Linked DNA regions of Caenorhabditis elegans. The protein of the gene in region 2 interacts with the protein of the main gene of each other region in a pairwise test. Each region holds a gene or a part of one and is shown on either strand. Other genes may lie near its edges. The genes, in order: uig-1, zyx-1, scpl-1 and lim-8.

Region 1 (4,565 bases), on a different chromosome or scaffold from region 2:
TTGGTGATATATTGAGCAATCAACAATATAATTTCAAAAATATTTGTGCTTAAATGTCGTGCAAAGCAATAATAAGTTCACTGTTTATATGGTCAATACGACTTCACTTTTTTATTTTCTAAGAGATTTGATGGTTTGGTCATTTGTCTAGCTCAAATTCAATGTTGATTCTAGCACTTCAAAAAGTATCAAAAAATAATCAAAATATTTCTTCTGAAATTTTGTGCAAAATAACAAAGTTCAGTTATTAACAACTTGGATGTCTTTGGTGTTATCAAACATTTGGTGATGTACAAATTGAAATTTTTGGCTTGAAAAAGATTCAAGGAGCAACAGAATTGAAGTGGCAGGTTTGAATTCGAAATCAAATATAATCAACAATTATTTTTTGAAAATGTGAATATCGTTTATCTCCAAACAATTCTCGAGTGCCGGCTTTTCACCGGAGCCGCCGCCATTGCCACCCAGCAGATAACAAATATTCAAATATTTTGTATTAGAAGAGAGATTATTGAATAACATTAGTCGCAGATGTTCTCCTCCACACTTTTCCGCGCACACACATTGTGGTGTAATTGTGGCTTCTAATATTTGACACTTTGAGCATTGAATGAAGGGAGGGAAAGGACGAACAAAAAAGCATTGAGAAAATGCGGCATGATTCCATTCAAGAAAATGGGCCGAGAAATATCTTGACTAAAAGACATTGATGGGTATTCTAGGATTCTGAGAGAAGAAGGAAAATGGAGGGGGGGGGAAAGATGCCATCGAAAACTGACAAATGACATTTTCTGGATGGGAGGTTGTAGTCGTTGTCCAAGTACTTTGCTACACTCAATTTGTTTAGATTACGAACTCATTTACACTTGTTTTTCGTCTATACAATGAAGAAAATGTAACTTTGGGTCAATTTTTTATGGAATTTACAATTTATAAACTATAGCTACTGACTATGATCTGGCAGAATTATTTTGTGGTGCACTTTTTGTCTTCAAAATTTGGTGATGGAAAACCTTGTATTTTGAATTTCAACTAATTACACGATGATGTAACCTATGCTTCAGAAAATTCTTGAAACCAAACAAAAACAATGCAATGCAAAATGTTCATATTCTACGCAATCGGCTGATTACATAAGAATTTTCCTAATCGAAACAATAATAAAACCGTTGCCGCGTCAACATTTAAATAGGCGCGTGAATCTGCGGAAGGGCATCAAAAGAGTTTCGGAGTGTGATGATGGACATAATAAAAATCATAATAATAATAACCATACGCATGGCATCCATGAAAATGCGCATGGGTGGCGTTTGAGGTCAACTTTTGTTGAATTATTATGATGATGTGAACTATTTGGATTTATTATATAAATTCGGAAATTTTGGAATTTCGAGTTAAATGTATATGTAGGTTTAAATGATGACTTGACTAAATTGAAATAAATAATTGTTTAGATTTTGTATGTTTTCAGAAAAAATGGAATGAAAAAATTTATAAAATGGGAAAAAAAAACTTAAATGAGTGTAACAATAAAATTTGGGATATAGTGTTTTGTTAAATTAAGACTATTAACATGAATGTTGGAGGACTGTAGAATTTAGAGAAACTAAATTTTCCAAGCTCCCAAAATGCCTTGCTAAACAAAATCGCTAGGTTGTGAATAAAATATTGACATTTAGGAAGGAAGAGAAAACTAAACAAAGGATGAGGTTATGTTTCCTAAAATTGGATTTAGTATTAGGTCATGCGGATTTTGCAACAAGCGAGAAGGATATGATTATGAGAAATGAAATTGAATTGTAACAACACGAACACGTACAAAATGATAATTTGTAAACTTTTCCTCCACCTTCTCTCTATATATCTCATTTCCTCAAGTTCTCATCAACTACTAAATCTTATGAACACTTGAGGTTCCTTCCAACATATCAAACAAGCTTCTCAATAAAATCAAACAGTTTTTTTTTCTAAACAATCTCACGTTCCAATTTCTCTTTAGTAAATAATAATTGAGAGAGGGCAAAAAATAAAATAAAAACTGCGATGGTTCGATCAAAAAGAGGTGAAAATCAGAAAAGCAAATGATTCGATGTGTGTCATCTCAACTAAAGAAAAAAAGGAAACTGTAGTAAACATCGACACGTTACACGAGAGCCAGGTTAAGAGGATGTAAAACAAACAAAACAATATGTGCCTTGATGATCGGACTTGGAAATTGAAAGTTTCTTTTTTTGTATGTATTTCTAAAGTTTTAATCGGGAGATGCGAAAATTGGTCTTGTAATACCGATGTTTGGTGAGGACTTTAAATGAGTGGGTCTCAAAGTTCGGAAGATCTTGGAAAATGGGAAAAGAGTTGGTAAAAGTTTTGCAGGTGATTTTTGCATTTCGTTTGAAAAACTTCAAAACATGCTCATGAAAATATTCAAATGGTTTACTCAGTACGATATGTTCTTCCTAAATTTACCTAGATAAAATCTGAAACATAAAAATGTTATGAAAAATAAAATAAAATTTATAATTTTTCATGACCCGTTGAATATCGACTCCCCTACGAATCAAAACATGGAACAGACAGAAGCTCAGCTACGTCACATTTGAGGTCAAATTTACAAGGATTGGGTATTTATTCTTCAATGTATGTAAGTTTGAAATAGCTGGTAGGCACGAAGGCAGTAATTTTTATTCCTATATGGATTTTTTTCGAAATTTTATTCAAAATGTCGAGTTTAGGGGAATGTTTTTTTTAAGTTTTTTGAGAGTAGAAATTATTAATATCTGATAAACTTTAGCCATTTTAAAAAAATTTAGCTTGCTTTTCTAATTGAATACTACATATTGAAAACAAAAGAGAGTTTGACAAATATGAAAAAAATCGAATCACAATAAAAAACTATTTTACGTTAAAAAAAAATCACACCTTGTAATTGAACAGTCGGCTCATCGTCATTTGCACATTCAGAGAACTGTTGCTTATCTTCGTAGTAGCTGAATCTCCTGCGGAACCAGGAAAATCCAATCGACATTGCACCTTCAGAGAGAGTAAGATTTAAATCGGTAAAAGAAACGAAAGAAAATTGAAAGATTGAACGGTAAAGGAAGTTGGCAGTTTCAAAATAAATCTTTTGATTTCTTGCTTTAATCCTATTAACTGGACTTGAAACCGAAGAAATGGATACCTAGGGTAAAAACTTGAAACAAAGTTCCACAAGCAAGGTTTTTCATCAAATTATAGCATTAATGTTCCACTTTTTTGCGTCTTGTTTTCTGGTCAAATTCTATTCGGTTTCTATTCAAAGCCGATGAAACATGGGAAATTCAGAAAATTGTGGGAATATGATCGCATCGGAAATACAAGTAATTATAGGGGGATTGACCGAAGAAACGTCGCTCTAGCGTTCAGAAACCTTCTGAACCACGCGAAGGAACAAATAAATTGGCACAATAAGAAGATGTTGAAGTCAGTGAATACCAAACGGAAGATTGAAAGTGGTGGTGGTGGTAATGTAGGAATGTAAGAAAGAAGAGTCAACTTGATACTTGTGCGCAGGGTTCGTCACACTACTTGGTCCCGTATTTACACTCCTAATACGGCCCGTGCGGAGTTTTAATACCAAACGAGAGAGGTAAACTGTGTTGCCAAAGAGCAATCGGAGGAAGATGCTCCCTTTTGAATTACCGCAATTCCTTTATTAATATGATTGCTAATAGTAAGATAATTTTCAAAGACCGTCGTTATTGCTAGACCAATGCATTTAAAATTTTTGGTTGCTCATCTGAAATTAGTAGTTTATCAATTCCAAAAATTCAATTTCTTGGCTTTTCATGAATTAACTGGAATCATCGAACAAGAATAATAATAACAAAAAAACCTCCGTTCAAAATAGGTAAGTAGCTATTTTTTTAAAGGTATTATAGGCATAATAGTAATAGAAGAAAAACGGTAGAAACCTTATTTAAAAAATTGAAAATAATTGTATCAAAAGTTATAAAACTAGTTTTTTAACAACTGTATTCTTAGAAAAAAAGCTATCCACCTCTAAACGGTCTCCACAGAATAAAGAAGAACAAGCTCATCTTCACCAAATGTTTATTGCCTTGTTTCGGTTTCGGTTCAGTTTATAAGTGGTTGGAGGATTATCGGAAAGATTCACTAGTTCTATATTCTGAATAAGAAATGTGCAAATAGATGAACAACTCTTACGGACAGAGTTCATGAATGAGGGCAATGCTGGAAAGTGTCAATAATGCTTATCAGCTTATTTTACGTTTTTTGGGCTGATGTTAAACCCTTTTTTTAGAAGTACCATTTTTGAATAGATGAACGCAATAAAAAATAATTTTGTGGGGAATACCAATGATATATTTTTTTAGAAAAGTAGTAAAATTATGTAGCATGTTCACCATTTAAAATAATTTAGTTTCGGGATTGCCAACTTTTTGCAAAGTTGAAACAAAAAGAGCTCACGATTTAAAAAAATTAGGTTTTTATTTCGCCAAAAATCACTAGCCTCGAAGCCATTTAGGCAATATGAAATCAAAAACCAAAAAGTCTTTCAAATAGCA
Region 2 (4,847 bases):
AATAAGTCGAAAAATACATAGACTCCTCTTTTCAATGTTTGTACACCAACTGTTTTTTGTTTCAATTTTTGTTTCTCACGAATTCCAGCCAAAAGTTTTTTTTCTTAAAATATTTTTTTTCTGTAGAAAAAAAAAAATATTAGGGAATGATCATGATTGCGCCCACGAAACCGCCCATAAAATTCCTGTGAAAAGAGAAGAAGAGAGGGTTGGGCACAACTATACCATCCATAAAACCACAGACTTTTTTTCGCGTCGGTTTTTTTCTTCTTTCCGCTCTTCCAATGTTTTATCGTTGTTTGCATGGCGTTCTGTGCTTCAAAGATGACAGTTTTTTTTGGGGTTGGAAGACTTTTTTGAATACAAAAATTCTTTGAAGTTAAAAACTTCAAAGTTCTCAAAATTTTAATTTTTTAGAATGGTCTAGAATCACATAAATCGAAGTTAATATTGGCTTTAAAATGGGAAAGATCGGCCACAAAACAATTAATTATAAAAAGGATGAAAAGGGGTCTTTTCATTAACTGTAAAAGGCTATTTTAAGATCATCTCTAGCAATAAAGAAAATATATGTTGATGGCCCAGTTTTCCCGTTTTTTTCTAGGCCAAGCCACAAATGACGGACAGTTTTGGGTTAGAAAGATTAAACTTCAATTTTCGTATAAAAAAAGTGCTCCAGAATAAAATTAGGCAAATTTCGGATTTGAAAAAAAAAATTCAAACCGAATGTGATGTCCTAGAACCCGACAAGGCCCACTTGAAAATATGACGTCACAAAAATATTCGTGGCCGAAAAAATAAGAAAACTCGGCTACGCTACAAACATTTTTTTTCTCGAATTGTATGTAGACGACACCTTATAGATTCAATCTGGAAAACTTTTTGAAAAATTTAATTGATGGCCGAGTTATCTGTTTTCTAGGCCACATCACAAATTTGTGCTTGATCTAAATCTGTGCTTTCAAATAGCAATTTAAAAAAAAAATCTGAAATATAAAACGATTAGGTTGAGCCGAAAGTCATGGCCTAGAACCCGAGAAAAATATACGTGGCCGCGAAAATGAGAAAACTCGGCCGCTAACACACATAGGGTAATTTCCTCGAACTCTAAATGATCTATTTAAGATCAAATTGCTAAAATATAAATAATGAGTTTTAGATTTTCTAGGCCACGCTGTGAACTCTAGGTTTTTGTATAATCTCCAACCATAACTTAAATATTGCCGGTCCCTCTCCCCTATAAATTATCAGCCACCAATTTCCTGTCTGCCACGTGGATTTCACACGAAATTTTTGATATCATCTTCCAATAGCAGATGTTGTTGCTTATCTCTTTTCCTCTTTGTTCATCGCTTATCCCTCGTTTTCGCTTTCCTTTTTTTGTAATCTCCCCCCCCCCCCTCCCATATCCTCTCTATTTTTCCTGCCATCAGTCGAATTTTGTGAGCCAAAGTGTAAAATGGGCTCCTGCCGGGATGAAGCGAGAGAGTCGTAAGGATGTGAAGAGACGCCGACGCGGTTCGCCCGGGGTTCCTGTGGCATGCAGCTCCTCGGGGTCCGTCGGAGCCCCCAAGACTCTAAACATACTAAACACCACACCGAGGCGCGCTCTCCAGACATTCTCTATCCATCCAGGTCGCACATCCTAATATGAGTTACCTCTCACCACTTCCTCATTATCCTAGTCAAAGGTATCGTTTTTTTTTCATTTCTTCATGTTTTTGTTGTGTTAAATTGTTTGCTCTGTGTCCTGACCTCCAACATATGTGTCTTTCAGCTTGGGTCGTGCTCGCTCCTTCAGCACTATTCCAGACTCGGCATCCGCTACTGATCTATGGGACCCCCGCCTCCGCCTCCACCACCCCCTCTACTCCCATCCGTAAGTTGAACTGAAATTGCAAAAGAAAATTGGAAAATGTTCTGAAATTTTTTTAGGCCAAAAGTTTGAAAAAAAATCAATGGCGTGGGAGAGAGGTTTAAAAATTATGTATGTTATCCATTACGGTAGCTCGATAAAACCCCCAAAAGCTCAGGGATTGTCAGAATTTCTTATTTCGATTTGATCTTCAAAAAGTGCGGGAGTTGAGACGCAGACATCTCATCTGATTTCGCAGATCTTGCTGACGTCACAATTTTTCTGAAAAAATTCCCGAATTTTTTGTAGATCACAATTTTTCCGAACAAAAAATTCCCGCATTTTTTGTAGATCACAATTTTTCCGAACAAAAAATCCCGCATTTTTTGTAGATCACAATTTTTCCGAACAAAAAATTCCCGCATTTTTTGTAGATCACAATTTTTCCGAACAAAAAATTCCCGCATTTTTGTAGATCAAACTGTAATGAGACATCCTGACATCACGTGGAAATAGACATTTCAAAATTTAAAATCTTGGCTTTTTGGAGGCAGATGGGTTTAATTATCGTTAATTTATTTCTGAACTGCCGGCTCTTAGAGTCGTTCTGAATTCTATTTCACTTCCCACGCTCTAGACAATACCCTTTCTATTAATTCAAAGCACATTTTGCATATGAAGGTAAACGATTTGCATACGGTAATTTATGTGCTCCTTCTAGCACCCCTGGGCATTTAATTATTCTCATTAATCACTTGAAAAACCATAAATTATTGCTAACCATAATCGTAGTGGCAAATTTTTTTTATCCAGCGGAAATGAGGGTTTTTTCGAAAAATAAAGAAAAAAATGACAGAATACATCCCCAATATACCATACATAACAGTAAAAAAAATTATAAAATTTTTGTAAATTTTTTATGATTTTTTTAAAATTTTGCAAAAATAATAAAAAGGGCCGAATGAAATTTAAATTCCCGCGCAACTGAGTGACGTCATTTTCGACATACCGTATATCTTCTATTAATATGGCCTCCCTATTAGACTTGCACTCCCTATTAGTATTGCCCCTCGGAGACCTTCCGAAAATTAGTATTGCACTCCCTATTAGTCTTGCACTCTCTAATAGTCTTGCGTTAACTTTTTTGTATTGCAAACCCGTCTCGCTAATTTCAGGATTTCAACAACATTTTTGCCTATTTTGCAACAGTTTTCACATCATTTCTACGAGATTGAAGTTTTTGAAATTATATGAAAATCAAATTTTCAGAATTTTTACATATGATTCGAGCTTTTTCAGGAAAAAACTAGTAAGCTCAAAGTCAGAAAATGTTCTGAAAATTAGTATTGCACTCCCTAATAGTCTTGCACTCCCTATTAGTATTGCAAGCGGGAAGACCATCGAAAAATAGTATTGCAGCTATATTAATAGAAGAAATACGGTATTTGTGTTTTCCCGCTATATTAGTCTCCATTTTGGCCAATTTCAAAGTTTAATCCAATTTCAGAGTTTTGGCAATTTTCTTTGCAATTATATAGTTTTCTTTACGGAAAAATTTCTGAAAAATTGGAAAATTAAATATGTTTCAAATTATAAAATAAAGAAAAAAAATAAAGAAAAACCCAATTAGTTTGGGCGTGAATGAAAAATTAAAATTTTTTTTAAATTTTAAACAGTTATAATCGGTATATTAGGACAGTATTCTGTCATTTAAAGCAAAAAATCTACCGACCTTTAATTAAAAAAATTGTTTTCCTCAAATTTGGCAGATTTGGTTAGTTTGAAAAATTTTACAACTTTGAGAGCCTATAACTCAGTTGTCGTTTGCTCTACTCAAAAATTGTCAACTGTCAAAATGTTTTTTAGTTCTTTTTCTACATTTTTTAGTTTGACAATTATTGGTATCTTGAAAAAGAACCAAGATATAGCGTTTCAAAGTAATGTAGTCGGGTGAAACTAAAATATGAAATGTGATATGATCTTATATAACTATTTACTTCCAAAAGTAAGAAATTAACTTCTAGGGAGAGATACTACCATCTCGCAAATGGAAGACAGAGGATGCACCACGACGTAACAACCATCCCGCACCTGCGCCGCCCAAGCCGTCCCGTCCCACAGTGGACGCTTCGGCACTACAGCACGCCGCAGCACGTCTGCGTAAGACCGGCTACAACGAACCGGTTCGAGGTGACGTCGAGAATCTATCCGATGGACGATTGGACCGACCGCATCAACAATTGCCTGACGGAGATCGGACGTATCGCGCGAACCTCCAACAATTGGCTCAGCCGAAAACCAGAGCAGAGGTGAGAGGGTTTTTAGAGAGGTTGCAGCCGACAACTCCCGGGCTGATGCGTCATTAAAATTCTGATAATTTTCAGATTCCTTCTCCGCCCACTTATTCCAACCAACCTCGTCCGCTCGGCGACTTTCATCGAGACCCCAATGCGTTAAGCCAATTCCAGGTACTACATTCCATCGGTCCTCATAAAAAAATCAAAAACTTTCCAGCAATCCCGAGAGGCTCTTCTATCAAGTACTTCCCCAACTTCAAACTATAGCCCAATCAATAAATTCTCATCATCCACTCTAACTCAATACGCAAACAAGTCCCCGTCGCCTCCATCATTTGGTAATAGTAATAGTGAGGCAACTTATGTGTCTCCATATTCTTCTAAACACTCATATCCTACAAACTTCCGAAGCTATCACAAGGACGACGATTATTTTAATAACACGGCAACTACGGCAACCACCACAACATCAAGCAATAGCTTAAACGAGAACAATAATTCGAATAAATATGGCAATAAGGAGACGGTTCTTCAGTGGTCGGAGCCCTACGATCCAAGGTAATTATTTTTTAGTTGTTGGAAAATTAACACTTTATGGTTAGCGCCCGACATTTTATGTATAGCGGCCGACACCTCATAGGTACCAGCCGACACCTCACAGGTATTTGGCCAAGAGGCTGACATTTAACGGGTAT
Region 3 (4,828 bases), on a different chromosome or scaffold from region 2:
TAGTCAAACATCATCAGCCGATAAATTGTTTTCTGTGCCTTCCCGCCGAACATACAGCAATTAGGGAAATTACATTGTCGAGCATGAAAGTTCTTTCATTTTTTCGCCCAATTTCTTATACATTCACTAGAGTTTCTTTCTTTTTTTGGAATAAAAAGTGTTTGTTGTTTTGCGGCGGCCACCAGACACGTTCAAAACAACAAATCTTGTGAGTTTTATTGCTTTTTGAATTTCTTTTAAGACGTTTCTGAGCAGATTTTGGATGTTTTTCGAAGGGAAATAGAATATGGAAAAATATTTAAATATCTAATTTTAAAGTACACACGAGGCACAATATTCTGAATTCTATTACCGTTAATCCGTTTCAAAAGGTTTCCTTGGTAACCGAGAGAAGCGATGTAATTCTTGTGAAAAACAATGGCATAGCTTTTTAGACCATAAGGTATTTTTGAATATTTTTCTGGAGACCCTTGACCTCTCTAAATATTTATTTTCCCATTTCCTGCTCCATCATGAATCGAGTCCATCAAAGGAAAAGCCATTTGAAGCGTGAAGAAAGTCGCCGTGAGAGCGACCTTGTTGAGTGACGCCTGCTCCTTTCTTTTGCTCCACGACATTTCCTTTCATCGTGGTCCTTATTTCTTTCTAAAAGCGTGTATATAAACTCTTATTATGATGATTGACGTCCACCTCATGCACCCGAATCTATTTTTATGTTCAGTAGCAGCTCTTTTGAGCTCTCTGGGCGTTGCTTTTCAAAAGCTCAACGTGATTGGCACATTGCCAACATGTGAGACCTGCCGCCGACTTCCGCGCCCTTCATGATCCGCCACTAATCGGTGAGCAAGTACTCGTTGAAGTGAGCAGCAAGTTTATATTACTTATGGTATATACACACACGTCGCGCCTTTACCCTCACGCGGCATACGGCATACGGCAATGCTTATTTGTTCTTTGTCAAGCACTTCTTTTGCACATTTTGGCAGCAGCGCGCACGGAAGGCGCCGCGTTCTTTGCAATAACCAGACTGTGCTCTGGGAGCAGCAGATGATTTAGGGGAAAGATACGAGAAAAGAGAAACAGAAAGAGAGTAGTTTGCGTGCTCATTTCAACAAGCACTTCACCTCTGCCCTCGGGATACCTCAGATAATTTGTGTTTCTGAAGAAGCTAGTTCTTCTTTTTCTTCTTCTTTGTTCTCTGCTCTTTTCACCTCTGAAACCCCTTGAATGTCAATGTTTCTAAAACCATTGAAATTAGATATGTTTGGGTTTTGCCCCGTTTATGCGTTGAAACGAACAAACATTCTATGTATCTTATGTGAGACAAGAAAACAGATTTAGTTCTCTCCAGAGACTCTCCCATCAAAACACACACCTGTCTGTTTTTTTTATTAGCCAACCACTTCCCCATAAATTCTTGCCATGGACTTTTCAACAATAACAAAATTGTTTCCTCATATTTTTATTATTTTTTCTTTCTCTCAATATGTCTAGAGTTTGGGCGGCAATTCTATTATTCGGAAATGAATAAAATTTTGAAAATTTGAAATTTGACAATAGTTATCGGAAAAAAGTTCCGATTACCAGAGATCAAAATCCTCATATTTTTAATAAGTTTTGATCATTAATTTTTTTGAATCATTTTTCTAAAAAATTCGAATTGTCGATTATCGAATTGATTTAAAAAAAACGATTTCCGCCCACTTCGTAATGTTTCAAATATTCTACTTCTTCAATTTTCTTATTAATCTCTATTTCTCTTCGAACATCAAACTTATCATATTCCAAAACCCCATTTCCTTATTTCAAGAAATATCTCGTCGATCCTCCATCATCCACCTTCTTCCCCAGTCATCATAATCATCGGATGACCTACGCTGAATCGACTCGATCCGCCGTCGTCTACTCGTCGATTGTGCCTCCACCACGTACTCCAGTTGGTCCGCCGATGTTGAAAGATGGCGTGCGGAAAGGATCCGCATCGCAACCACTTCAACCAAAAAACGGTGCCAACAGTTTGGACTATTGGAGTAAATCGGAAGATGAAAAGTCTGGAATAACGTGTTACTACAGTCGTCATAATATTCAATTTCCACCACCACAGAGGAAAATGAAACCTGTAAAACCAAATCCTGTGGGAAGGTCAACAATAAATGGATTCACACCATCGACATCATCACCACAAAATGGTCTTAGATATCCACCATTTCCACAGAATACACCAGAATCTGTGATGAGTCCTCCAGTTGGAATCTACCGTAATATTCCCGCAATGCCACGTGCAAAACTTACAAAAGATGAGAAAAATGGAGGGAAAATGAATCGAGATGGTGGAGGAGAAAACCCAAAAAATGTAGTTTGGGGTGGAACATCAAGAAAAGATGATGATACGGCTAGTACACCGTTAAATTCATTTTCAGCCAATGGTGAGATAACCGGGAATGTGAAAAGTTAATTTAAAAATAAACTGAATTGTTTTTTTTTTTGTAATTAATATTTTGTATCAGTTTCAGCATCAATCGAGAAAAAGCGATCAACAGCGAGAAGGAAACCAAGATGGGCACGCTGTTTTCAGACACTTTTCTGTTGTGTGACTCCACCCAGAGAGATTGGTATGTGATTTTTCATTTTAAAATTATCAAAATTCTTTTAAAAATTTGGGGTTATTTAAGTTATGTAGAATGCTCCAAGAGTTCACTAAAAAAAATTTAATTAAAAAAATGAATTTTCAATTTCTGAAGAGAAAATGGATGTAGTCTGAAATGATCCAATTTGACTACAAAAATTTATCTTTTTTCGGGAGTTTTCCTTCAATTTTGCAAATTTTTTTTCAAATTTCTGAATTATTTGTTAAATTGCCACCAAAAACGGTTACTGTAACTCAATAAATTTTTTTAAATAACATTATTTGTAAAAAAAATTTCCTGGAATTTCTGTATGCTTTTCACACTTTCCTATAACAAAATAGACTGAAAAAATTTTAAAAAATTGTTTTGTTTATTTTAAGCGACAAATTTTTGAAATTCCAGAAAAATTTAATATAAAGACATGTTAAAAATTTTTTTTTGAAAATTTCCACAAGAAAAAGCTAAAGAAAAAAAGGAAATTTGGTCTTGTTACAGTAACCAGTTTGTGCGAAAATTTGAAAGTTTTGCAAAAAAAAAGACAAAATTTTAAACACTTTATAGGCATATTCGATAATTTTAGACTATCTTCTATTATTTAACAATTGAAAAATGTTCTTAATCATAGAAAAGTTCAAAATTTCGAGTAATTAATAACGCCGCTTTTATGTTTTCTAGAAAACGAAATGAGTGTTTTCATCTTCATTTTTTCTTTATTTCTCTTTCTCTTCAGTGGTAGTGTTCCAGTTATTACACCAAATCTTCCATCTCTTTCATTTTTATCCATCAAAAACTTCAATCATCAGTCGGAAACCACCCCACGCTTCTGATTTCCCATTCTTGTGTGCATTTCAATATTTCAAAAAAAAAACTCATAATTTCTCCTTTACCCCGAAATTCGCCAATATTTTCCGATTTACGAACGCGGCTATCAAACTTGTCGATAGACAGCAAAGTGAGTTGAACTTTTGCGAAAAAGGAAAAAAAGGCGAGGGCAGCTGGTTTTGATTTATTTGCAAATAATCTCCCCTCAGGCAATGTGTCATGCATAAATACGCAGCTCACGGTCGGAGGGAGTACCGCAACTTTTTGAACTTTCAATGTTTGCATATGAGAAATGAAGGAAAAAAATCTCGTTTAACATTTTAAAAGTAGCATTAAAAATTAGTATTAGGGATTTTGAAATACCAAAAACGGCTTTAAATTATCCAAGATATTCAGAAATTCAGAAATACCAAAAGAACAAATTTAGAACTTTCAAAAATAACGCATATAACGATAGAAAAATGTATTGATTTGTTAATGATTATTTAAAATTGTTTGTTTGGAAAGTTTCTCAGCGATTTTCTTTCTTCCGATTACTAGGTTTTCTTTACAGAAGAATTCCTGAAAAATGTCACTCGTTTGCGCGGGAATTTAAATTGAATTCTGCCGTATTTTTCATTTTTGCAAAATAGGAACAATCATTTCAAAAACAATACTTTGGAACTCTTCCCAGACAGAATCTGTCCTTGTCAAATCATCGATGTCAAAATTGACAACTTTGAAACAAAGAATATTATTTTCCCAGACATTTTCTTCCTCGCTGCTCATCAGAAAATATCATCATTTTCTTTCTTATCTCGAATTTCAACGAAAAAAGATGATCAGAACCCCCGCACAGTTGGATTTTCGGATCCTTTCGAAACATCTGGTGCCACTCGATTCCTGGCACAACGCCTTTCACAAAGAACTATGATTTATGAACATGAACTTTTTTTTAAAGTTTTGTGGGTGTAGAGATAAATAAAATTTAATGATTTTCCGATGAGCATGCATGAGGCAACTGCTCAGTGATCAGATATCACAAAAAATCATCTTAAGGGTGGAATACCGAAATCTGGGAATTATTTTTAATTGACTCCAAATTGCCCCTGAATAACGAATGTGTGAAAAAATTCAAAAAAATTATCTGATGTTATATTTGATTTATATTTTTTTCACATAAATATTCGGAATCAGGGGCAAATTTTGAGTCAATTAAAAATATTTCTTAGATTTCAGTACTCCACCTTTAACAACAATTACCGTAACCAAATTTCGGCAATTGAATGAAATTCTAACAAAATTGGAGAAAATATTCATAAATTTTCAGAAAAGATACAATCAAGCCAACGAACGAACAGTACAAACAACAATCATCAGAATGGAAGACCATCTACACC
Region 4 (4,821 bases), on a different chromosome or scaffold from region 2:
AGATTTCCGTGGCGCAGAAATAATTGGCAGATCGTTATTCCGCCAATGCAAATGACTGTATTATGGATTCTTGTGGATGCAGGAGTGTCTTCTTCACCTTCTCCCAGGACACAGCAGGACACCTGTTTCGGGCAATCAACACCGACCTGGTCGCCATTTGCATAATGTGTTTTCTTGAGGAGAAGAAAAAGAAAAAGGAAAAGAGTAAGAAGGATGGATACCTAGTTGTCGGAACGAAGACATATGCGTGTCGTTATGAAGAAACCACAGTTGAAAAAGAATGAAGGATTAGACGTCTGACGACGACACCGTTCCGCCACCTTGTTTCTTCTTCTGATCCTTCGTGTAATATTACTGCATTTTTGGCTTTTTCCTATTCTTTTGCGTTCATTTTTCTCATTTACATATCTACATGTCAAAGTGAAAAAAAAAGCTATTCCCTACAGTAATCGTACGTTCTGATAGGTCATTGGAGAATATGTTCCAGGAGTTCTAATCATAAAACAATTGTTCGTTGGGTTCAATACTTCAAAAACATCAATCAAATCAGGCGCTATTTTAACAAGTTCAGATCTAGACACGTTTCAGTATACTTCTCTTAAAACTAAAAAACTTTGTTTTCATTCCACAAATGTCCATCCTTGCCTACCAAATTGAAGTCAATCTACCATATTAAAATAATTTAAAAACATGAATTTATTGGGCCACTGCAGAAATGTAATCCATTAATGGGTCTACCCTACATTCTACCATGTTGTTTCTTTTTAGAGAGGAATTTTTAAGATGGAAATATTATGAGAATCAACTATTTTTGGAGATGAACTGCTTGTTTTTCATTATTTCAGAATTCATGGCTTCTTATGGCGCTGTGATACTGTTGTTATATAATTATATTCGGTTTTTTTTATTCTCAATGTCTTCTATTTCCCTTTAAAAGCTTCTCCGAACTTCAGATTTATATTCTTTGCCCTTATTTCCCTGTCCAAGTTTCAATTTCCCTGGCTTCTGCCGCTTTTAGACTATCTCCAAATCACCACCATCTGATAACTGATCCATAATATCTTTTGACCGACATTCCTTTTCATCTCTTCAATATTACCGACTTTTGTGTATATTTTATGATAGAGCGTACGAGACGAAGAGACGCAGACATTAATTTTATGCTTTTCTTGTGGATACGCAGAAATAAGAAGAAATAAATTTGAATATTGTTCCGAAAGGATCTGACCACTTTCTCTTCAGATTCACTCTCGTTCTCTGATTATCAAATTATCGTGTCAAATTCATTTCAATTCTGGTTTCTCCCGAAATTTTCAAAACCGATTTTATTGAATTTTATTTTCCTTAATTTATGCTTTCCGTAGTGACATTAATTTGAGAATTTTTGGATGTGGATTTCTTTACCGCTTTTGAACATACTTTTTTACAGTTTGTTTTAATTCTCGGTACCTTTTTTATTAATTGAACATTTGGATAACAAAGTTATGGACCATTGTAATAGGTTCCGTTCTTCTCAAAATCTCAAGTCTTGGTGTCAATTTTCTGTAAATGTGTGGTCGATTTCTATTTTTCTTCCTCTCTGAAGAAATGTAAACTGTCATCAAATTTCCCACAAGTTAAACGCTATTTCTGTTTGCTCAGAGGTCTTTTTCTATTTTTGTTACTCGTGTTTGTGTTCTATTTGAATTTCAGATAATCTATTTTGATTCTCTGGAAAAAACATTGATTACTTTTTTTGATGTTCTTCTTGTAACTTGACTTTTTTATTGTTTCATTTCAATTATTTGCAGAAAGTCGTAAAGATGATGGAGAATGATTACGCAGTGAAGGTACTTTCAAAGTGTTTGAATTTTTCATTGTATATTTATTAACATTTTGTGGCTAATTCATTTTCAAAATAGTTCAACGTATTCCTGTGTTTTCTAGTTATTCTAGCTTTGCATTTTTGCTGGGCAAAAGTTTGTAAAAAACAGTTAAAGCTCTGAAAACATTTTTTAGTACAGAAAAGTTAATTAAAACTCACTGTTAGATTGAGAAGGGGTTATTGGAAAATTATTTTGGAAATTAACATATTTTATTTGGCACACTGAAAAAAAATAAAAATTTAGAAATTATAAAAAGGAAGAATCAAAACTGTCCAATGTCCCATATCATCCTAGTTTTCTTGCACGCAAACCAAAACCTCAAAAATGCCCAAGAATGTTGGGCATATTAATATTTACATTTCAAGAGGGCTCACATACTCACCCCTTTTAACACACAGTCTTCACACAAAAACTAACTGATAACAGGAGACTTTTTTGTGTTTGATTGGTATTATGATCGATTTTTATCATAAATGATATGTTAAAGTGTTCCTTTTCTGTGATATGATTCATTTCTGAAATGAGTAGGATGGAAGAGAAATGAATAAAAAAGTTGAAATTTTTGAATCAAAAGTTGCGTTTATAATCAAACTACGTTCCTTTTTCAGTTAAGCATTTAGTTATTTTAAAGTTTATCATCATTTTTTAATCAAGATGATGATAACATAATACTCGTAAAACATGTTTTAAAGTTTTATCTTTTAAGTTGTAAAAAATACGTTATTAATCGCCCACTTTCACCTCTAATACTCGAAAATGATATTTTAAGTGATTAACTTCATTATGTACTTTATCGTGTTTACCTAACTTATGTCTGCCACAATAACCTTGTCGTTTCTACTTACTTTTTGTATTTATTTTTCATAAATTCAGAATAATTTCAATACATTTTTCAGGTGGCCAAGTATCCACCAAATCTTGGATCTGATTATCCTGAAGACGAATTTGGGTGAGTTTTACTTTCACCACAATAATTTTTTTGTCATTTATGATCATGTAAATCGTTCATTTAATTATGAGTGACAAGATTAATTAGGTGAATTATTTGAATTTTCAATGTCATTATAAAAGTTCTAAGGGTAGATGTAATATAAGAAAGCGGCAAAGTATGCAAATAGGTTTTAATATTCTGAAAATCAGGTTTCTTAGTCTGTTTTTTTCTCATTCTCTTTGAGATTCTTTTTCATTAACCATAGCATATTCCTCAAAATTTCTGTATTGTAGCGTTAACTACCCATTTCAATTAAGAAATTCAACAAAAGCTTTGCAGTAACAACGCATATAGGCAAAATAGGACATTTCTCCGTGGCTGGGCTGGGCCTACTACATTGAAACGTTAAAAATATATTTTGGATCATGTTCAGACATTTATAATTTAAGTTTTTATTCGAAAAAACAGTATCAAGATTCTTTGAAACGGATTTTATTTTTATTAAAACAAAAACAATAGTCATATATTCTAGACCAGTTCATTTGGGCGTGGACTTCCTTTGCAGTTTTACAAAAAATCTTTTCTTATATATTCACTAGAAAATGTTCTAGTTAGACTGTTCATTTTTCATTCCTTTTGTCTTTGAGCGTTTGCCGGTACGTGTAAACCGTTAGCCTTTCCAAAAAACCAAGCGTCGGAGCAAAAAAGGAGGGTACTCAAAGCTCTCTGTACTTACCATGCAAGCGCGAAAATTGGCGATTACGCACTCTCTTGATATTGTAGCATATTCTCAGTCTCTTCATTATTTTCTTATGTCTCGGAAAAAGAACGTAGTGACCATCTCTAACTGTGTCTCGTTTCGCCAATGGAGAGAAAATAAACAAATGAATGAGAGCATGTGAGCCGCCAATAAATGACCGGATATATGAGAGTGAGAGAAGATATTCGGCATGATTTTTGAGTCAAGGGCACTGTTACGGTTTTTCTTTTTGTTGATCAACCCTTTTTTAGTCTTATGAACTCTTTGAGCAAGTTTCTACAAGTTTCTACTTTTTCTGTATATTTCAGTCTCAATGTGGAAATGATGTTTCACAGCAACCCAACAGTTCCCAGGTTCCTCTACTAGATTAATTTAACTGTGTTTTCGATGAAAAATAACATAACCCAGTAGATATCGGATACTGCGAAAATTACCATGTGTCTTAAAATAAGTTTTACCGGGTTCCGGTAGTAGCTGCTCTCAACTCTCTGAACACTTCTCCCTGAGACGCTATCTATAGATCGCGAAACTATTTTTAAGACTGAATTACCTATTGAACTTTACGATAGTTTTCCAAAATGTACTATGTTTTTTTTTAATAAGCTCACAGTTATCCCGAATTCTATTCTCTCTGATAACTTTATATTCCTCTTGAAACCCAGATTTTCTTCACCGCAAAAGGTTTCTGGTCTCTGAAATTAGCTATTGGTAAGGCAAAAGGGACGCGAAAGCTGGAAAGAAACATCAATTACCAAAAGAGACACTTGTTTTTCGCTTTTTTCTGTGTTTTGACTTCTGACGCCTTCACATCAGATGTCCCATGTCAGAAGCTTTTCCTTTCATTTTTCTTAAAATTTATTCGATTTCTAAAAAATAATCTAGCGTTTAGGTTTGAAGTTAATAGCGGTCTCTCTCATTGTAAACTCGATCAGTGTATTAACTATTGCACATACCCTATCTGCGTCTCTATTCTAACTACAGCGAATATAGGCCTCTTTGACCTGAACTTTCCGTGCTTCCGTGGCGCAATAGGCAGCGCGTTCGGCTGTTAACCGAAAGGTTGGTGGTTCGAGCCCACCCGGGAGCGAAACTTTTTGGCTTCATAAAATTATATTTTCTTAGTAAATGAAATTTGCAGACCCGGAGCAAAAATGCTACGAGGACCGGGACAGAAATCCTCGGATCCTTTCCAATTCGTCGCCGTCAACAAAGGCGGCGACGAAATGGCTGAATCTGCGAAAAGCACACTACAAATGGCTCAACAA

Evidence for each region.
Region 1: the proteins of zyx-1 (region 2) and uig-1 interact in a two-hybrid assay, tested with the Caenorhabditis elegans proteins (one study listed by BioGRID).
Region 3: the proteins of zyx-1 (region 2) and scpl-1 interact in a two-hybrid assay, tested with the Caenorhabditis elegans proteins (one study listed by BioGRID).
Region 4: the proteins of zyx-1 (region 2) and lim-8 interact in a two-hybrid assay, tested with the Caenorhabditis elegans proteins (one study listed by BioGRID).

What each region holds. Positions count from the first base shown.
Region 1 is NC_003283.11:13,289,368-13,293,932, forward strand, and holds the start of uig-1 (Protein vav), read right to left. Parts: upstream 3,026-4,565; coding exon 2,920-3,025; intron 1,350-2,919; exon of another isoform or gene 1,200-1,349; intron 1-1,199.
Region 2 is NC_003280.10:13,055,318-13,060,164, forward strand, and holds the start of zyx-1 (Zyxin), read left to right. Parts: upstream 1-1,834; coding exon 1,835-1,879; intron 1,880-3,481; exon of another isoform or gene 3,482-3,502; intron 3,503-3,879; coding exon 3,880-4,164; intron 4,165-4,239; coding exon 4,240-4,323; intron 4,324-4,369; coding exon 4,370-4,710; intron 4,711-4,739; exon of another isoform or gene 4,740-4,847. Other genes in the region: azyx-1 (Alternative N-terminal open reading frame of ZYX-1), read left to right, coding at 1,651-1,691, 1,778-1,879, 3,880-4,164, 4,240-4,312. UniProt on the Caenorhabditis elegans protein: Functions both as a mechanical stabilizer (via LIM domains) of focal adhesions, and as a sensor component for muscle cell damage (via N-terminus).
Region 3 is NC_003279.8:10,091,463-10,096,290, reverse strand, and holds the start of scpl-1 (CTD small phosphatase-like protein 1), read left to right. Parts: upstream 1-1,810; 5' UTR 1,811-1,867; coding exon 1,868-2,426; intron 2,427-2,513; coding exon 2,514-2,612; intron 2,613-3,512; exon of another isoform or gene 3,513-3,629; intron 3,630-4,758; coding exon 4,759-4,828. UniProt on the Caenorhabditis elegans protein: Phosphatase which may play a role in the egg laying muscles.
Region 4 is NC_003281.10:6,800,998-6,805,818, forward strand, and holds the start of lim-8 (PDZ domain-containing protein), read left to right. Parts: upstream 1-1,790; 5' UTR 1,791-1,805; coding exon 1,806-1,829; intron 1,830-2,761; coding exon 2,762-2,814; intron 2,815-4,231; exon of another isoform or gene 4,232-4,436; intron 4,437-4,570; exon of another isoform or gene 4,571-4,643; intron 4,644-4,664; exon of another isoform or gene 4,665-4,694; coding exon 4,695-4,821.